Linked DNA regions of Callithrix jacchus. The protein of the gene in region 3 purifies or fractionates together with the protein of the main gene of each other region. This does not show direct contact. Links are inferred from orthologs where the notes say so. Each region holds a gene or a part of one and is shown on either strand. Other genes may lie near its edges.

Evidence for each region.
Region 1: the proteins of LIN7C (region 3) and PALS1 purify together in Homo sapiens (affinity purification with mass spectrometry; 3 studies listed by BioGRID and IntAct, counting the BioPlex papers as one, with this or other methods). This does not show direct contact. The link is inferred for Callithrix jacchus from reciprocal best matches to the Homo sapiens genes LIN7C and PALS1.
Region 2: the proteins of LIN7C (region 3) and ARHGEF26 purify together in Homo sapiens (affinity purification with mass spectrometry; 3 studies listed by BioGRID and IntAct, counting the BioPlex papers as one, with this or other methods). This does not show direct contact. The link is inferred for Callithrix jacchus from reciprocal best matches to the Homo sapiens genes LIN7C and ARHGEF26.
Region 4: the proteins of LIN7C (region 3) and DLG1 purify together in Homo sapiens (affinity purification with mass spectrometry; 4 studies listed by BioGRID and IntAct, counting the BioPlex papers as one, with this or other methods). This does not show direct contact. The link is inferred for Callithrix jacchus from reciprocal best matches to the Homo sapiens genes LIN7C and DLG1.

Annotation. Positions count from the first base shown.
Region 1 is NC_133509.1:102,220,992-102,225,325, forward strand, and holds the start of PALS1 (protein PALS1), read left to right. Parts: upstream 1-1,503; 5' UTR 1,504-1,641; exon of another isoform or gene 1,642-1,761; intron 1,762-4,334. UniProt on the Homo sapiens protein: Plays a role in tight junction biogenesis and in the establishment of cell polarity in epithelial cells.
Region 2 is NC_133518.1:31,171,012-31,174,576, forward strand, and holds part of ARHGEF26 (rho guanine nucleotide exchange factor 26), read right to left. Parts: intron 3,523-3,565; coding exon 3,455-3,522; intron 1,843-3,454; coding exon 1,738-1,842; intron 981-1,737; coding exon 838-980; 3' UTR 1-837. UniProt on the Homo sapiens protein: Activates RhoG GTPase by promoting the exchange of GDP by GTP. Required for the formation of membrane ruffles during macropinocytosis. Required for the formation of cup-like structures during trans-endothelial migration of leukocytes.
Region 3 is NC_133511.1:92,876,919-92,881,104, forward strand, and holds the start of LIN7C (protein lin-7 homolog C), read right to left. Parts: upstream 2,806-4,186; 5' UTR 2,791-2,805; coding exon 2,754-2,790; intron 1-2,753. UniProt on the Homo sapiens protein: Plays a role in establishing and maintaining the asymmetric distribution of channels and receptors at the plasma membrane of polarized cells.
Region 4 is NC_133516.1:25,083,272-25,086,836, reverse strand, and holds part of DLG1 (disks large homolog 1), read right to left. Parts: intron 2,994-3,565; coding exon 2,952-2,993; intron 2,271-2,951; coding exon 2,235-2,270; intron 841-2,234; coding exon 790-840; intron 1-789. UniProt on the Homo sapiens protein: Essential multidomain scaffolding protein required for normal development. Recruits channels, receptors and signaling molecules to discrete plasma membrane domains in polarized cells.

The DNA.
Region 1 (4,334 bases), on a different chromosome or scaffold from region 3:
CCAGGAGGCGGAGGTTGCAGTGAGCTGAGGTCCTGCTAATGCATTCCAGCCTGGGTGACAAGAGTAAAACTCCGTCTCAAACAAAAACAAACGAACAAACAAAATAACTTAGAAAACAAAGTAAGTCACACACACTAACCATTTTTTCTTTTGGGGTATGGCTAATGGTTTCTAGGAATCCTGGAGACAGACTTTATCCGGATTTCAGTTGGGCATTTCACCAGTTCTCACTGCATCTTTGTGGAGGAATACGGGCCAAGAAGACATTTTGGTTGTGCTGTCCATCTGTACTCAAAGCCTTCGGAGAAATTTTTGAAGGCAGGAGTATTAAAGTCTTTAGAGGCATGTAGCAGAGCTCTGTCCTCGGCTCTGTGTTACTAAACACTTGGACAGAATGCTGATCAGATTTGAGAAAGATAACAAATCTGGGAAGGGTAGGCATCCCGAAGATCTTCACCACCAGGAGCAATGGTTTGCTTCGTTCAGGGCATCACTGTGTCCCTAAGGAGGTACACTAACAACCCATAGGCTGTCCAGAAGAGCGTAATGGGGAAGAATGTGAAAGAACTTGAAAGTCAGGATCTGGGGAGATTGCAAAATGGAAAAATACGGTGGGGCAAAATGAAGAAAATCGTGAGAAATAGCATATCCGCAGGCTTTGAGGGAGGACTGTGCCCCTGGGGGAAATTGTGGCCCTGGGCTGGAGTCATAGGCAGATTTTGGCCTCATAGAAGGAGAGGTCGATTAACAAACCCTGCACGTGTTCGAAGGTGGGATGGGGTTCCTCGGAAGGTACTGTCAAGGCAGAGACCAACCGATGGCTTTACTGGAAGTGTCAAGACACATTTGCTGGCATTTCTCCTTAGAACGTACTCCAATCTGTTCTGACTTCCTCCCGAACCCGCCTGAGTCCTGCCCATTTCAAGGGTGGCACATCCAGGTCCCGAGGGCGCCAGCCGTGCCTGGGGCATGGGCTGGCCTGCGTAACTCTCTGTCCCTTCAGGAGACCTCTGGGAAATAGCTCTAGCCCTTGCCATCCTTGCTTTCTGGTTTTCAGAAGTCAGCGCAGCTGCTGGCTTTCTGGAGTCTTCTGCGGGACAGTGCACACATCCAGGTGTTTACGTCATTTTTTTTTTTTAAACAAATGTTAGATTGTGTGACTAACTTGACAGAACACGAGGAATACCTTCAAGAATCATATTTTCGTCAGAAACCGTCATCCAGAAACAGAAGAGCCAAGGGCTGTAAAGCCCCAGGGAAGCCTTAGCGTCTACACCACAGAACCCGCCCGCTAAACCCCGGAGGGGCTCCTCAGGGCCAGTCAGCCCCCAGCTGTTCGCGTTTTAGACTTGGAGGCGCGCCAGTGCGCGCACCCGGCGGGAACTGAGGAGACGACCAATGAACGGGCGCTCTCTCCGCACCGGCTAGGGATTGGGCGAGCCGCTACAGCCTCTCATGGGAGGGGTGGGACTGGGACCCGTGTGCCCGCTGAGCCAGAGTCCCGGGGGCGCGTGCGCGGTCTCGCGGCGGCCGCAGGGGCCGGTCTCGCGCGGTCTAGAGGTGGAGTTGCTGGCGGCTGCGGCGGCGGCGGCGGCGGCGACGGCGGAGGCTGGCTGTGGGGCGGGGTCTAAGGATTCTGAGGTGAGGAGTCCGGAGTTTCTGGATTCTTTATCCGGTATTTTAAGGGCCGCCGGAGGGCTGTCGCTTCGGCAGTGCTTCGGAGCGGCCGGGGCGGGAGGCTAGCGGAGCCGGGGCGCGGAGGTAAGAGGCGGATTGGTGGCGGCTGGGCTGTGGAGATCTTAATCAACAGGTCTCCGGCAGCGCGGCGGGGGAGGGGCGGTCGGACTCCCCCTCCCCCACACGCCGTGCAAACTCCGGCGGGCTGGGGACCCCCGGCCGCCAGGCGGTCTTCCTCAGGCGCGGGAGCCGTGGCCGTGGAGGGTGTGAACCCACCCTTTGTCCCTCGGAGTAACGCTGCCGGCGCGGTGCCCGCTCCTTCTCCTTGGCCGGTCATGCACCTTGGCGCGGGCCACAGCCTGCCCGGCCGGAGGTGCGTGGGGCGCCGCGGGCAGTGGTCTTCCCCCTGCGCCCCCGCCCGGAGGTCGCGACGAGCTGGATTCTCCCGGCCGGGTGGGGGAGATCGCCTAGGGAACGCTTTCCTTTGGAAGTCGGAAAGTAGTCAGCGTCCCTCTGCCTGACTCAGCTGCTGGTATTCTGCTACTCATTGCGTTCTTAAACACGCAAACAGTTCCTGCTTCCTTGTGACCACTTTTAAATAAAAGCCTAATTTTGTTAATGGTTTCTGATAATATAAGTTTGCACATTGAACTTTGAAGCCTGTAAATTGTAATCTACGTTTATTGAAGGTTGGATTAAACGATCTTTGTAGTAAATAATATAACTTTCTAAAGATAATAACTCACCTGTTTACTTGATTGATATACAGTAATGTGTTTGGAATGTAGGTTTCGGTCGAAAGGTTTTTCTTGACAGTTTATGCTAAAATTAAAATCTGATGGCTAGGAAGTTTTTAGATGTGGTATGTAGTGTGTGTTTTGTCTCCATACTCGTTTACAATAGTAAGAATTTAGATTTGGAAAGTCAGTTGAACAAAAATTTTGAAATTTTGATTTGACTGACACAGTGAAAGGTGTTAATATTTCTGATTTTAAAAATATGTTTTAATGATGGTTTACTAATTATGCTTTTGGATTATACAGGAGGTTAATTACCTGTTAAATTCTGCAATAGGAACAAATGACGTGTTGGTTATTGGTGTCTTTGAAGTATTGGTGGTCATGAAAGTTACTAAATAAGCTTTCTTGAATTATGAACTACCAATTTTTTTTTTACTAGGTCCCCGTGGACATAGTGTATTGTGGATAGGTTTTGTAGGCTTTCTATTTGCAGCAGGATGAGCTATTAAATTATAATGTAAGAGATTTATAGATGAAACAGGCAAAAATAGGAAAAGCAATTCATTATTTTATCTTTAAAAATCTAGTAAATTTGGCCGGGTGCGGTGTCTGACGCCTATAATCCCAGCCCTTTGGGAGGCCGATGCGGGTGAATTATTTGAGGTCCAGTGTTCGAGACCAGCCTGGTCAACAGGGCAAAACCCCATCTCTACTAAAAATACAAAAAATTAGCCGGGTGTGGTGGTATAGGCCTGTAATTTCAGCTACTCGAGTGGCTGAGGCAGGAGAATTGCTTGAACCCAGGAGATGGAGGTTGCAGTGAGCTGAGATCACCCCACTGCACTCCAGTCTGTGCAACAGAGAGAGACTGTCTCAAAAAAAAAAAAAAATCGGCAGGGCACGGTGGCTCAAGCCTGTAATCCCAGCACTTTGGGAGGCCAAGGCAGGTGGATCATGAGATCGAGACCATCCTGGTCAAAATGGTGAAACCCCGTGTCTACTAAAGATACAAAAAATTAGCTGGGCATGGTGGCGTGTGCCTGTAGTCCCAGCTACTCGGGAGGCTGAGGCAGGAGAATTGCCTGAACCCAGGAGGTGGAGGTTGCGGTAAGCCGAGATCGCGCTCTTGCACTCCAGCCTGGGTAACAAGAGCGAAACTCCCGTCTCAAAAAAAAAAAAAAACGAGTAAACTTTAGCAGGTATCTGAATGATTTTTGGCTAGACAGACTTGAACTTGACAAGTAAAGGTGGATTAACATTAATTTGTTTTAGAATGTTAAAGCAGACAATATGTAAGTTCTACCTCAGGGTGACCCAAGTCAGTACAGTGGGTTTAGTTTTTACATGATCTAGAATTATAATCTTGATTAAAAATCTCAATTCAGGGGCACATGTTCTCAGGATCTCCTGAGGGCTATGTCATGAAAAAATTTAAATAAAATTTTATCAGACATTCCAAGAAATTTGATTAATTTTATGTAATACTGAGATTCCCTGTTTCTCTGATATTTTCTGATTTCAGGGTGTCTAGAAAAGATAGTATCTTGACATATGTGCTTTAGAATATAATTTTCTTTTCTTTTTGTGAGACAGAGTCTTGCTCTGTCGGCCAGGCTGGAGTGAAGTGGTGTGATCTGGGCTCACTGCAGTCTTCACTTCCTGGGTTAAAGCGATTCTTCTACCTCAGCCTCCTGAGTAGCTGTTCACCACACCCTGCTAATTTTCATATTTTTATTGGAGACAGGGTTTGGCCATGTTGGCCAGGCTAGCCTCGAACTCCTGACCTCAGGTGATCCACCTACCTTGACCTCCCAAAGTTCTGGGATTACAGGCACAAGCCATTGCTAGAATATAATTTTTTATCATATTCTTACTGAATCATAGGATCGTTGAGTTGGAAGTAATCTTAGTGGTTAT
Region 2 (3,565 bases), on a different chromosome or scaffold from region 3:
TTGATCCCAGTGAACCGAGATCACACCACCACACTCCAGCCTGGGTGACATGGGGCAGGGGCATCGGGAGTAGGACCCCTGTCCTAAATTCATGGTTTTCTCACATGTGAAACCATCTAAATTCTATGTTGTTAAAGGTAGTTTAGGTTAATTAGTCTATACTTATCTAAAACCAATGTGGGGTGAGATGGATTTTTTTTTTTAAATCCTTAAAGTAAGGCTCTCTACTTTCCTTCTAATGAGGAAAAAGGTGACAAAAATTCAAGTGTCAATGTCCCTTTCCTGGGAATAGGTTTAGAAAAACATAACAGCTCGCCTTCTGAACTCTACCAGTTCCTTCTGAAGTCAACAAAACATTAGAATCAGATTTTTAAAAAAAGAGAGACAGGGAAATATTTACAAAACTGGACATTCCTGACAGATATAAAATCTTGCTAATGCTGGGAAAACCATACAAGGGTGTTTAAAGACAAACAGTAACCTTAGTAAAGCATGATAGAGAAAACCAGGATATGATATGTGTTTTTTAATGCCAGAACATGGTGAAATTAGGAGGAGCAGAGATGACTGATCCCTGAAGTGGACTGCTCAGCTATTCTGCTCAGCCTCTAAGAAGGTCTTCAAAGATGTGGTTAGGTAAAAACTGAGCTGTGCAAACTAACTGTATCCACTGTTCTTCTCACAAGAGAGCAGAACAACCTGGCAAGCTTAAAGGCAAGTGTTTTCATTCTTTTAATTAAATAGGCTGTGATAAAATTAACAATAAAACTAGCCCAAAACCAACCAGCCCACTATGTGTCGTGCAAATCTTGCAGTAACGAAAGACCATCTGAGAGACTACACGTTGGTCTCCAGTCCTAGCAAGCGTCCCATTCTCTCTACATTCTTGTCAATTATAGCTTGACATGTTATCTCCTTGGCACATTCCATAGGAAACCAGCCTCTTTCTCCATCTCGCAGTCGTTCCCCCTCATACCAGCCTGTGAAAAAGAACAGAGTCCACATCAAACAAGTATTTGTGGTGTGCCAGGCTTCAAGAAGAATATGAAAAAGCTGAGACACAGTATCGCTCTCCAGGCTAGGTGCCATGGATGATGAAAGGTAAGGAGAATGAAACAGGGAAAGGTTTCAAGGGGGAATGAATGACATTCCAGGGAAAGAGCCTGAACAGAGGCTCTGAAGTGAAAAGGCTGAGTATCTGAACCTGGGCTGAGCTGGCAAAGGAGATGCTTTGGGTAAGGATAGCAGGAAAAATGATTTTTTTGAAAGGATGAATCTTTGGAGATGAGAACTAGGTCACTGTGGGACTGGGGAACAAAGAAAACTTCATGGTTTCCTTTTGAATAACAAATCAGATGACTGCATCTATATTCAAAGCCAAATTAGATGAATCATAAAGTGTAGATAGATGAGAGGCAGGTGAACATGAGAAAGCTGGAGGGAAAGCCCAAAAAGAGAAGAGGCAAATGTTTCAAAGTCCCCAAAACACCTCTCCAAGTCATCTTTAGGTCTTTGGTAAACCACTGATTTGGGGAATAAAGTCTTGGGGAAGAGGAAAGGAGTAAGAACAGAGAAGCAACAAAATTAGCCTTAGTGATAAGAATGCAGTACATGTATGTAATCTCATTCACGTATCAAGATTTGGAATACAGGCAATGATGACAAAATGAGACTCCTCTGGTCTGTAGAACTCTGAATCCTGGACCACCAGTGTCCCATAAGAACGCTCCCACTCACCATCGCTGACACGTTGATAGATGAGGACAACGTCTGCCACCTGCAGGGAGAGTTCATCTGGCTGCTTGGAAGTAAATGACCTAACGATTTCCACCTGGGTCAGTGCTGCGGCAAAGAGGACATACTAAGTTTCCAGTAGCAGAGAAAAAAACACGTGCAATCCAACAGTGTACATTTACTCGTTTTTCTCTGTAACTCAGGGCCAGCACTGAGGGAAACAAGTTGGGCTTCTAACAATAAGCAGAACATCTTTTCTAGCAATTCCTTTACTTGGCTATATGCTTTAGAATTTTAGAACCTCAGATTAGAGGCCTTTTATGATGCAAGAATCCCCTCAATAACAGGTTGATCAGGAGTCATTAGTCATGTCACACAATGGAGCAGAAAACAGCCATTTTTGCCTTAAGAAAACTGAGGCATGAGAGAGGTGCTGATGTGCTGAGTCCATGCAAAATATACAATAGACATAGTTCTCCTGGATCTCATCAGAGTGTTTTCCCATCCCAGCAGCAGCACAGGAAAGCTTCCAAAAAAGTTTAGAAATAAAAGGAGTTCTGGCTGTGCACGGTGGCTCACGCCTGTAATCCTAGCACTTTGGGAGGCTGAGGCGAGCAGATCACGAGGTCAAGGGATTGGGACCATCCTGGCCAACATGGTGAAACCCTGTCTCTACTAAAAACAAAATACGGGATTTCCAACTTTCTGGAATCCCCTCCCATACAGTGGGAGCTCAAAAAAATAAAACAAAATACAAAAATTAGCTGGGTGTGTTGGTACACACCTGTATTCCCAGCTACTCAGGAGGCTAAGGCAAGAGAATCACTTGAACCTGGGATGTGGACGTTGCACTGGGCTGAGATTGCACCACTGTACTCCAGCCTGGAGACAGAGTGAGACTCCATCTCAAAAAACCACCAAAAAAAAAAAATGGAGTTCCAACCAAAAGCTTAAAAGACATATTAGACCTCCTCAGAAATGCTGACATGTGACTTCTTACTTAATTTGCTTTTAATATAAAGCTTGATTTTAGGAAACTTTCGGACCATTCTGGCTTTTAATCTAAGCTTAAAGCTGTAATTTTTGAGGATTCCGAGAGAATGTTTTGTCCTAATTCTTTGGATTTAACCTTCCAATTGTAATAACCTAAGGAATCCCAGCATCAATGTTAGGAAGCTAATAAGCACACACCACCACCCTTTACTGCACCAGTTTTTAATTCTCTAGAATAATGAAACACACTTTCTTAGAAGGTCAAAAATGATTGTTAATTTTCTTTAAGATTAAAAATACTTTTCAGATTCTCAGTATGGAGAAGGCTTAAACATTATTAACTAAATTGCTCACTGATAACAGCTAAAAATGTAAAAGCTCTATAGTTCATATAGGGCTTTTAAAATAGATTATTTAACTTATCTTCACAACAACCCCATGTTGTGTATAATGGTGTAACTGACTTGCAGATGGTTAAATAGCTCTGTAATGCTAAGCAACGATTTGCCATGTTTCCACAACAAAGAAGTGCACCTTGGATTTCAATTCAGACCCCTTGACTTCCACAGCAAGTATCATACCCTTCTGGTGTAAAGCAGAAGGAAGGAAACCTTGGAGGAAACTTAGGCAAGGACTGTGGTGGTGTAAATGCATTAGTAACCCGGCGTCCAGCAGGGGGCAGAGCCCATCCATGTTCCCAAGTGGGCTTCCCCTTGAGAGCACTTACAGGTTCGGTCTGCTGGCGGCTTTCCGCTGCTGTGTCCCAGGGCAGTTATCCAGCGGGCTCGCTCACTCCTAAAACAGAAGGCAGATCCAACTGAGAGATTCAAGGTGTATA
Region 3 (4,186 bases):
TCATCAATCATTTTTATTTATAAAGTTATAATATGTTAAGCCATATAAAAATTTCCAATTAACAAAAAAACGGAAAAACGTAAAATGCTTTTGACTAAATCTAAACTGTACCTAATACGTGCTCAAATTTGTGTTTCATTAAAATAATATTTTGATGATTTAGAAGGGATTCTAAATCATCATATGTGATCAGGTACTGAACTGTAACTGTACTATAGGATTTTCTACTGTAGAACTGTTGGGAGTGTTTGCTAATAGAGTCTGTTAGAATTCTAAGAAAGAATCAGAGCTGATGTAATCTTTTTCCCCTGCTAAATGGCAACTACTAGTACAGCTGTCTCGATAACCGTGGAGGGTTTGTTAGGACCTTCTTCGGATATCACAGATATCAAAGTCTGCAGATGCTCAAGTCTCTGATATAAAATGTAGTATTTGCATATAACCTATGCATATTCCTGCTCCATACTTTAAATCATCTCTAGATTACTTACAATATCTGATGCTATGTTAATAGTTATATCACATTATTTTTGTCGTTGTTGTCATTTTGAGATGGAGTCTTGCTTTGTTGCCCAGGCTGGAGTGCAGTGGCAAGATATTTACTTACTGCAACCTCAGCCTCCCAAGAAGCTGAGACTACAGGTGACTGCTACCATACCTGGCTAGTTTTTGTATTTTTAGTTGATAAGGGGTTTCACCATCTTGACCAGGCTGGTCTTGAACACCTGACCTCGTGATCCATTGACCTCATGATCCACCTACCTCAGCCTCCCAAAGAGCTGGGATTATAGGTGTGAGCCACCGCTCCAGGCCATACCATATTACCACATTGTTTAGGTAATAAGGACAAGATAAAAATGTACACATTCTATAGACAGGATTTTTTTCTCTAAGTATTTTCAAACTGTAGTTGGTTGAATTCATGTACGTGGAACCCATGGATATGGAGGGTTGACTGTTATTCATCCCTCTAAGGGGCTGAGACTTTACTGAAGAATGGAAAAGGAAAACAAGCCTGTAACAGCACAAAGCAAAGCCATGACTATCAAAACTAATTGCCACAGGAGTTACACATTTTGTGCTGCATTTAACAACACAGAAAACCGGCTGGGTGCGGTGGCTCATGCCTGTAGTCCTAGCACTTTGGGAGGCCAAGGCAGGTGGATAGCCTGAGCTCAGGAGTTCGAGACCAGCCTGGGCAACATGGTGAAACCCCGTCTCTACTAAAATACAAAAAATAGCCAAGCGTGGCAGAGTGTGCCTGTAGTCCCAGCTACTCGGGAGGCTGAGGCCGAATTGCTTGAACCCGGGAGGTGAAGGCAGTAGCGAGTGAGATTGCGCCACTGCATTCCAGTCTCTTCGACAGGGCGACACTCTGCCTCTGGGAGTAAGACCACCAATATGTTAGAATCTTACAACTAGCTTTTCAAAGAAAAACTCCTACTTCTGTTAACACCAAACAGATTTGCTCCCATCTAGGAAACACAATGCCATTGTGCTCAAGAGAAAGATGTCAGTCTTAGGCCTAACTCGGCAAGTGTTCCCAGAGTAGCTAGTCCTGTCTAAAATGACGTTTTAATAGGCTTAAGGGAAAGAATCTCATTTACTAGGAGGCTTCCAAATGGTGAACACTATAAAGAACAAATCAGCGATACTAAGTGCACCTTTGTTTGTGGGGAGGCATTAGGAAAGAGGTTTTTCTAAGTACAGTAATTCTAAAAATGTGTTTTCTTAGGGAACAATAGTAATACTCAGACTGTAACTGCAAATGTTAATATGTGCAATATAATTTTAGTCTCTATTCTACACTTTCTTTTTTTTACCACCAGAACTCAAAATATTTACTCATGCTTCTTAACTCCTATCAATGACTTCTAATGATGGTGTATGAAAAGCATGCTTAAAATTGTTTGAAATAAAGGATTTAGGGACAGAGTGGAAGGCTGGAAATCCGTAACAGGACTGGAAACGCTGGAATGCTGGAAATCTGGTAGGCGCATAGCCAGCTATTTTCAGTCTTCTCTATCTCTAATTACTCAGCAGAGGAGGTTTTATTTTCCTTGACAGTCTGCTCTAGGGAAGAATCAACCAACCAGTTTTGCAACTGTGGGTTTGTAAGAAATTGAAAACCTTACACCTGCAAGTGTTTTAGCATCTACCACTATTCTGCTTACTTATGTAACCTTTTTCCCAAGACCAAGTCAGTAGGATTGTTTTTAAAGCAACCTCTCCATTTCTGGGAGGGGCACAAAAGCTAGCAAATACCCCAACCCAAATACAAGTGGGGTTGTGGGAAAAGTAATGAAGAAGTTTGCGTGTAAACAAGGGGGAAGGGAGGTTCTGTTGAATTGGACCGTGTGTCCGTCTTCGTGTTGTACAGGCAATGAACGTAGTCTGTACGAACTGGGTGTGTGACGTTTGCTTTTCGGGTAAACGGGTCTCCGAATGCTGCTTATGCTGTACCCACCAAGGGAGCGCGTGTGCGGCGTGTGTCTGCGAAGCTAGCAGGTTATATTTAGTTGTGCTGTGCCCCGGGACAGCCCGTGTTAACAGAAGAGGGCTTTGAGTATCAGCTGAAAGACCGTAAGCGTCCTTCCTACAGCCAGGCACAGAGACATCGGCGGCCTCTAGCGCCAGCGCAAGGGACAGCCTGGCTCCGGATCTCAAAGCCTGGGTCACCCCTCCACCCCTCCAGCGACCTAGGACTCCTTCAACCCTTCCGCCCACCTCCGCCGAGCTTCGGCTGCACTCACCCCTCTCCAGCCGCACGGGTTCCCCTAGCGCCGCCATCTTCTCCCTTAGCCTACAGACCCACAGGAAATGACGACAGAAAGGCTGCGGTGGAGAGGCGGGGCCCGCCGGAAGCCGGAGAAGTGAGCGCCTGTCAGTATCGCGAGATCGGGAGGTTGGCCGGTGGTTTCGTAGCCGCCATCAGGGTAAGGGTACTTGGACTTGGCGGCTTTTGAGTTTGGCTTGGCTCTGCACCTTCCGCGGCCTCCTAGGGTTGGAAAGAGCTGCTTTCCTGACTCTGTTCTCTCCCTTGGGTTTCCCTTATCCTAACCGCTTCGGATCCTTGGCTCCACGCAGAGGAGTCAAGTAGTCGATTCTAGTCCCACCTTGATCATTAGCTCTTTGACCCGGGACTGTTCATTTACCCTCTCTCGGCCTCAGTTTTCGCATCTGTACAACGAGAGGTCCTATCACTTAGGTGCTTTCAATTTTTAAACTCTGAGATTCGGTGGCAATTAAGTGTGTAATGACATGTTGTCAGTTCTCAATTTGTGACAGCGTTGCTTTAAATTTAAAAACCCACCTCTTGAATCTTCCCTCCAAATCTGTTTAAGGGTGAAAAGTACAAAGAGCATGAAACATATCTGGGTGAGGGAGAAAACAAGGTGCTTTGGGTGTACCACAAAGTAACAATTTTATAAGCAGGTGATTCTTATAAAATCTTAAGTAAATGAAATATTTTGAAGCAAATAGTAAATTCTCAGTGCATTACAGATTCTTTGAGCCAATTCTGAAAATTTCATGAACCAAGAAAAGTTTTTGTATTTGCATTTGACTAACATTTACCCAAGCCCTTAGTCTGTGCTGATACTGTGGTAGATGTGTTTACATCCAACATTTCAACACTTCATGATAGGACTGTTTTAATAACTAGTTGCCCCTGGTCCACCCTTTCCATTCACCTTTAGTATTTTTCTTTTCCAAATCCATCATGAATGCCACTACTATGCTCCTTTTTCTCCCCTGGAATTCTGATTTCATCATCACAAGTTCGTTCAGAAACTTTCAATAGTTTCTCTCCTGTTACCTATTTCTAAAGCCTTGCATACTCTGACCCTAACTCATCCAACTAACCTTTCTCATTACCTCTAGGTGCAACCACCACTTCAGTCCAGGTGGTATATTTTCAGTCATGTTTGTTCCTCGTTCTAAGTCTTTATGTTTGTTTTAGAGACATTGTTTCTCTCCGTTGCCCAGACTGGAGTGCAGTGTTGCGATCATTGCTCACTAAACTTGGGCTCAAGACAGCCTCCTATCTCAGCCTTGCCCCTAGTGGGGACTACAGGCAAGCACCACCATGCCTGGCTAATTTTAAAATTTTTAGTAGAGATGGGGGTCTTGATGTGTTGCCCAGGCTGGTCTTGAACTCCTGAGCTCAAGCAGTCCTCCTGCTTAG
Region 4 (3,565 bases), on a different chromosome or scaffold from region 3:
CAGAGAACAAAAATATCCGTAACTGTTACAAAGAATTTTTTTCTTCCTCCTCCATCTTCCTTTTCCGTCAACCAAAGATGCCTAATTTGCTGTTTTATAATCTTGACTAAGATCTTAAAGTTTACTCAGTCTCCTGCTAGAAGTCATACACTTGATAATTCAAAGTTAAATTTGGTAGTTTAGCAGATTATGTTTATTTACATTGCAAATGACAGAATAACATATAGTGTTTTACAGACAGTTTTGAAGTAGAAATTGTAAGGAAGCAGAGCAAAGAAGGGCAGAAGAGAAATTAGATGTAGGAAGTGATATAATCACAGTAGTGTTTTAGAAAGATGATCTAAAGAAGTGTAAACTCTAGGTTGCATAAGATCGTGCTGGAAGAATGGAGATGGGGAGTGAGGCCGAGAACTAACATTGTGGTAGAAGGGACGAAGAGCAGGTCATAAATAAGAAAGAAGTACAATAGTGCCTGGAACCTGATTAGCTGAGGAGCATGAGGAACAGAGAAGGGTCAAAGATGCTCCCAAGATTTTCAAAAAAGGGTTATTTGGAAGATAGCGATGTTAACAAGAACACTTGAAAAAAATTGCTTAGGAAATAAAACACAAATATAAAAGTCAATATGAAATGACTAGATTCTAATATACTATGGAATAAACTATGTTTCATAAAATACATGTAGTAAATTTCTACATATAACATTTTTGGGGGGTATTAGACTTTTTTCCCCCAAATTAAAAATATATTATTCTAGAAGATTATAAAATATGAATAGGCTTCACAAACCTTCTTGCTGATTCACTGGTTCATAAGATAAGACGTACTCTTCTTGACCACCTATTAGAAAGTGAAGGCACAGATGAAAAATACATAAAGATAACTGATGCTAGTCTAATTCTTCATAAACAACATATACATTACTATAACTTTCCTAAGAAAATGGCAAAGATATGGAAAGAGGTACTTTGTGGCAAGATTTAGTAAAAAAAAATAAATAAAAGTGGCAAATCATAAAGTCATAAAAGTGAGTTTGCTAAATGTAAAACAAAATATAAATGAGCTTTTAAATCAATAAATAATCATCAAATCTAAAATCTTCATTTGTGATACTACGTGCTACTTCTTTATTTAGAATTTAAGAATTATTAACTCTGTTAAAGATTAATGCTTTAATGAACAGTTCTATCTATATATATATATATACATCTTAGGTAATTGTTACTATTAAAAATATGCTACTTTTTTCACCAACTATAATACTGAAAACAGTATATTTAAAAAAATTACAACTACCTTAAAATTTAAAATTATAAACACAAAGGTAAAACTATTGTCACTATTTCACTGATGAAAAAATTCACAAATTAAACTTTGTAAAAAATAAGAAATTTAATGTGAATCAAAAAGAGCTTTAGACAAAACTAAATCCTTCCAATAAAAAAACCACATGATAGTAAAGGAGATAAATATATTCTGCTTTGAACTTAAAAGCATACAAGAAGTTAAAGCTTCCAAATTAAAGATTTAGAGCTTAGGATATATTCTAAATTAAAGAGTCTACAAATTATATCTGAATCCAATGAAAATAACTACAAAATTAAAAACTCTAGCAGTTTTTAACTAATACATATCCCCCTTGCCCCCACACCCAAAATTAGAAAAGACTGTGTTAACCCAAGTGGTTCAATGAAAACAATCAATACTGGATAATGTATTTGAAGACTTTTTCTTTAATTATCAAGATCCTATATTAATTTTACCATGAATTTTGCAATTGTTTTATATTATATGTATGTAGCTGCAGTCTTTTAAATCCATATATTGACATAAACATTCTTTTCTGCTTTAAGTGTGTATTTCTTTGTTTTTAATTTTATTATCGAAGTATATAAAACCAATATAAACTTTTTTAAATTATTGGATGTAAAACATGGCTTACATACTAGCAAACACATGCAATTGGAATATTCCACTCCTTAATAATTCATGCAAATGGTGAGACAGACAGTATATACTTTCATTACCTCTTTTTAGCCTAGAAAGCCACTCCACTACTCTATAGTGGATTCTGGTTATAAGCAATAAAATGCTGAAATACAAGAAATCATTTCCACACCAAAAAAAAATTAAGTAACTATTATGTAGAAAAATAATCAACCAAATGAGTGATGGTTAAAAGTATATACTGTCAACATGAAAAAGTATTAGGGACTGATATTAACAGGATGGACCTTTTGGGCAGCCGTACTCATCTGTAATCAAGATTACTTTCATTTTAGACAGCAGTAAAAAAAAAAAAAGTTAGAAAAGCAATTTTAATTTTTAAGGTGCTACAAATGATAACATTATATACTTTCCCCTTCTCCCACACCCAAATCTGTTTAAAAACATCACATGCTTGTGTAGTTCACTTAATAAAACCAAGAATGTAATATAAAACATCAAAAGAGAAATTAGCATTATTTTCTGAGCAATCATTGAAAATGTTTCCTTCCTTATTTCTTCTGTTCACCAAGTGCTGGTGATAAACAATGACTTGATCCAGAACAGTATTGGTAAAATAATGAAAACAGAAATAAAGCTAATTATAATTTAGCATTACTGAAAAATATTATTTTAGCACTCATGTTAAAAACAGAATTCAACAAAATGTCAAAATATAAGTTTTCCCCCATATAAGTATTTACTTTTTATAAAAAATATATATACACACATATATGTACTATGTACACAAATAATACTATTTTTAGTATTTTATTAAAATTTTATAAATTAACCTCTACATATTATGATTTTTTTCAAGCACAAAATTTTACTTGGCTCTTCCTGATTTTAATATCAATCATATTAACTTTAGGGTTTTAGAACATATTACTAAGAATCCCTCCACCCCTGCTGAGGATTTACTACTTGAAATTATAAAAGAACAAGTAACTTAAGACACTTACGGTAACTACTTTCACTATCGCTGGCATTAGAAGTTACATGCTCTGAAATTGCAGGACAATGGAAGACAAATAAAGAAAACACAGTGTCATGAGTTTAAAAAGCTGATAAAAGCAAATAATCAAAATAAAAGAGGGTGACATAAAATGTTGAGGTATAAGCCATATATAACAAAATAATTTTTTAATTTAAAAGCATTTTTTCTTTTCTTTGAAAGGTTTAATTTTTTCAAATAAATATGTATTAGCAAGGGAAAACACCTGTAATTAAGGACAGTGCCTTATTTTTGTACAACACAGTTTATGAACAAGTCTCTACTATAAATAGCGAGTAGAATATAACAAAGGCAAAATGATCCTGAATTAGTCTAAATGTAGATATACAACTCAAAGGGAAAATATTGTTGGCACTATCTAATTCAGTCTTTGAAACAGCAGTAACTAGCAAAGGGGACAAACTATATTTAAGGAAATAGATCCTCATTTTAATGAAGGGAGGTCTTTGTAATTAAAAATAAATAGACGATGTTATTTATAGTCCAGCTCCACTCCTGTTTCTGAAAATGAAAGTCAATTTTTCTGAGATCATACAGATGAAGCATTTTAGAAGTCATAAA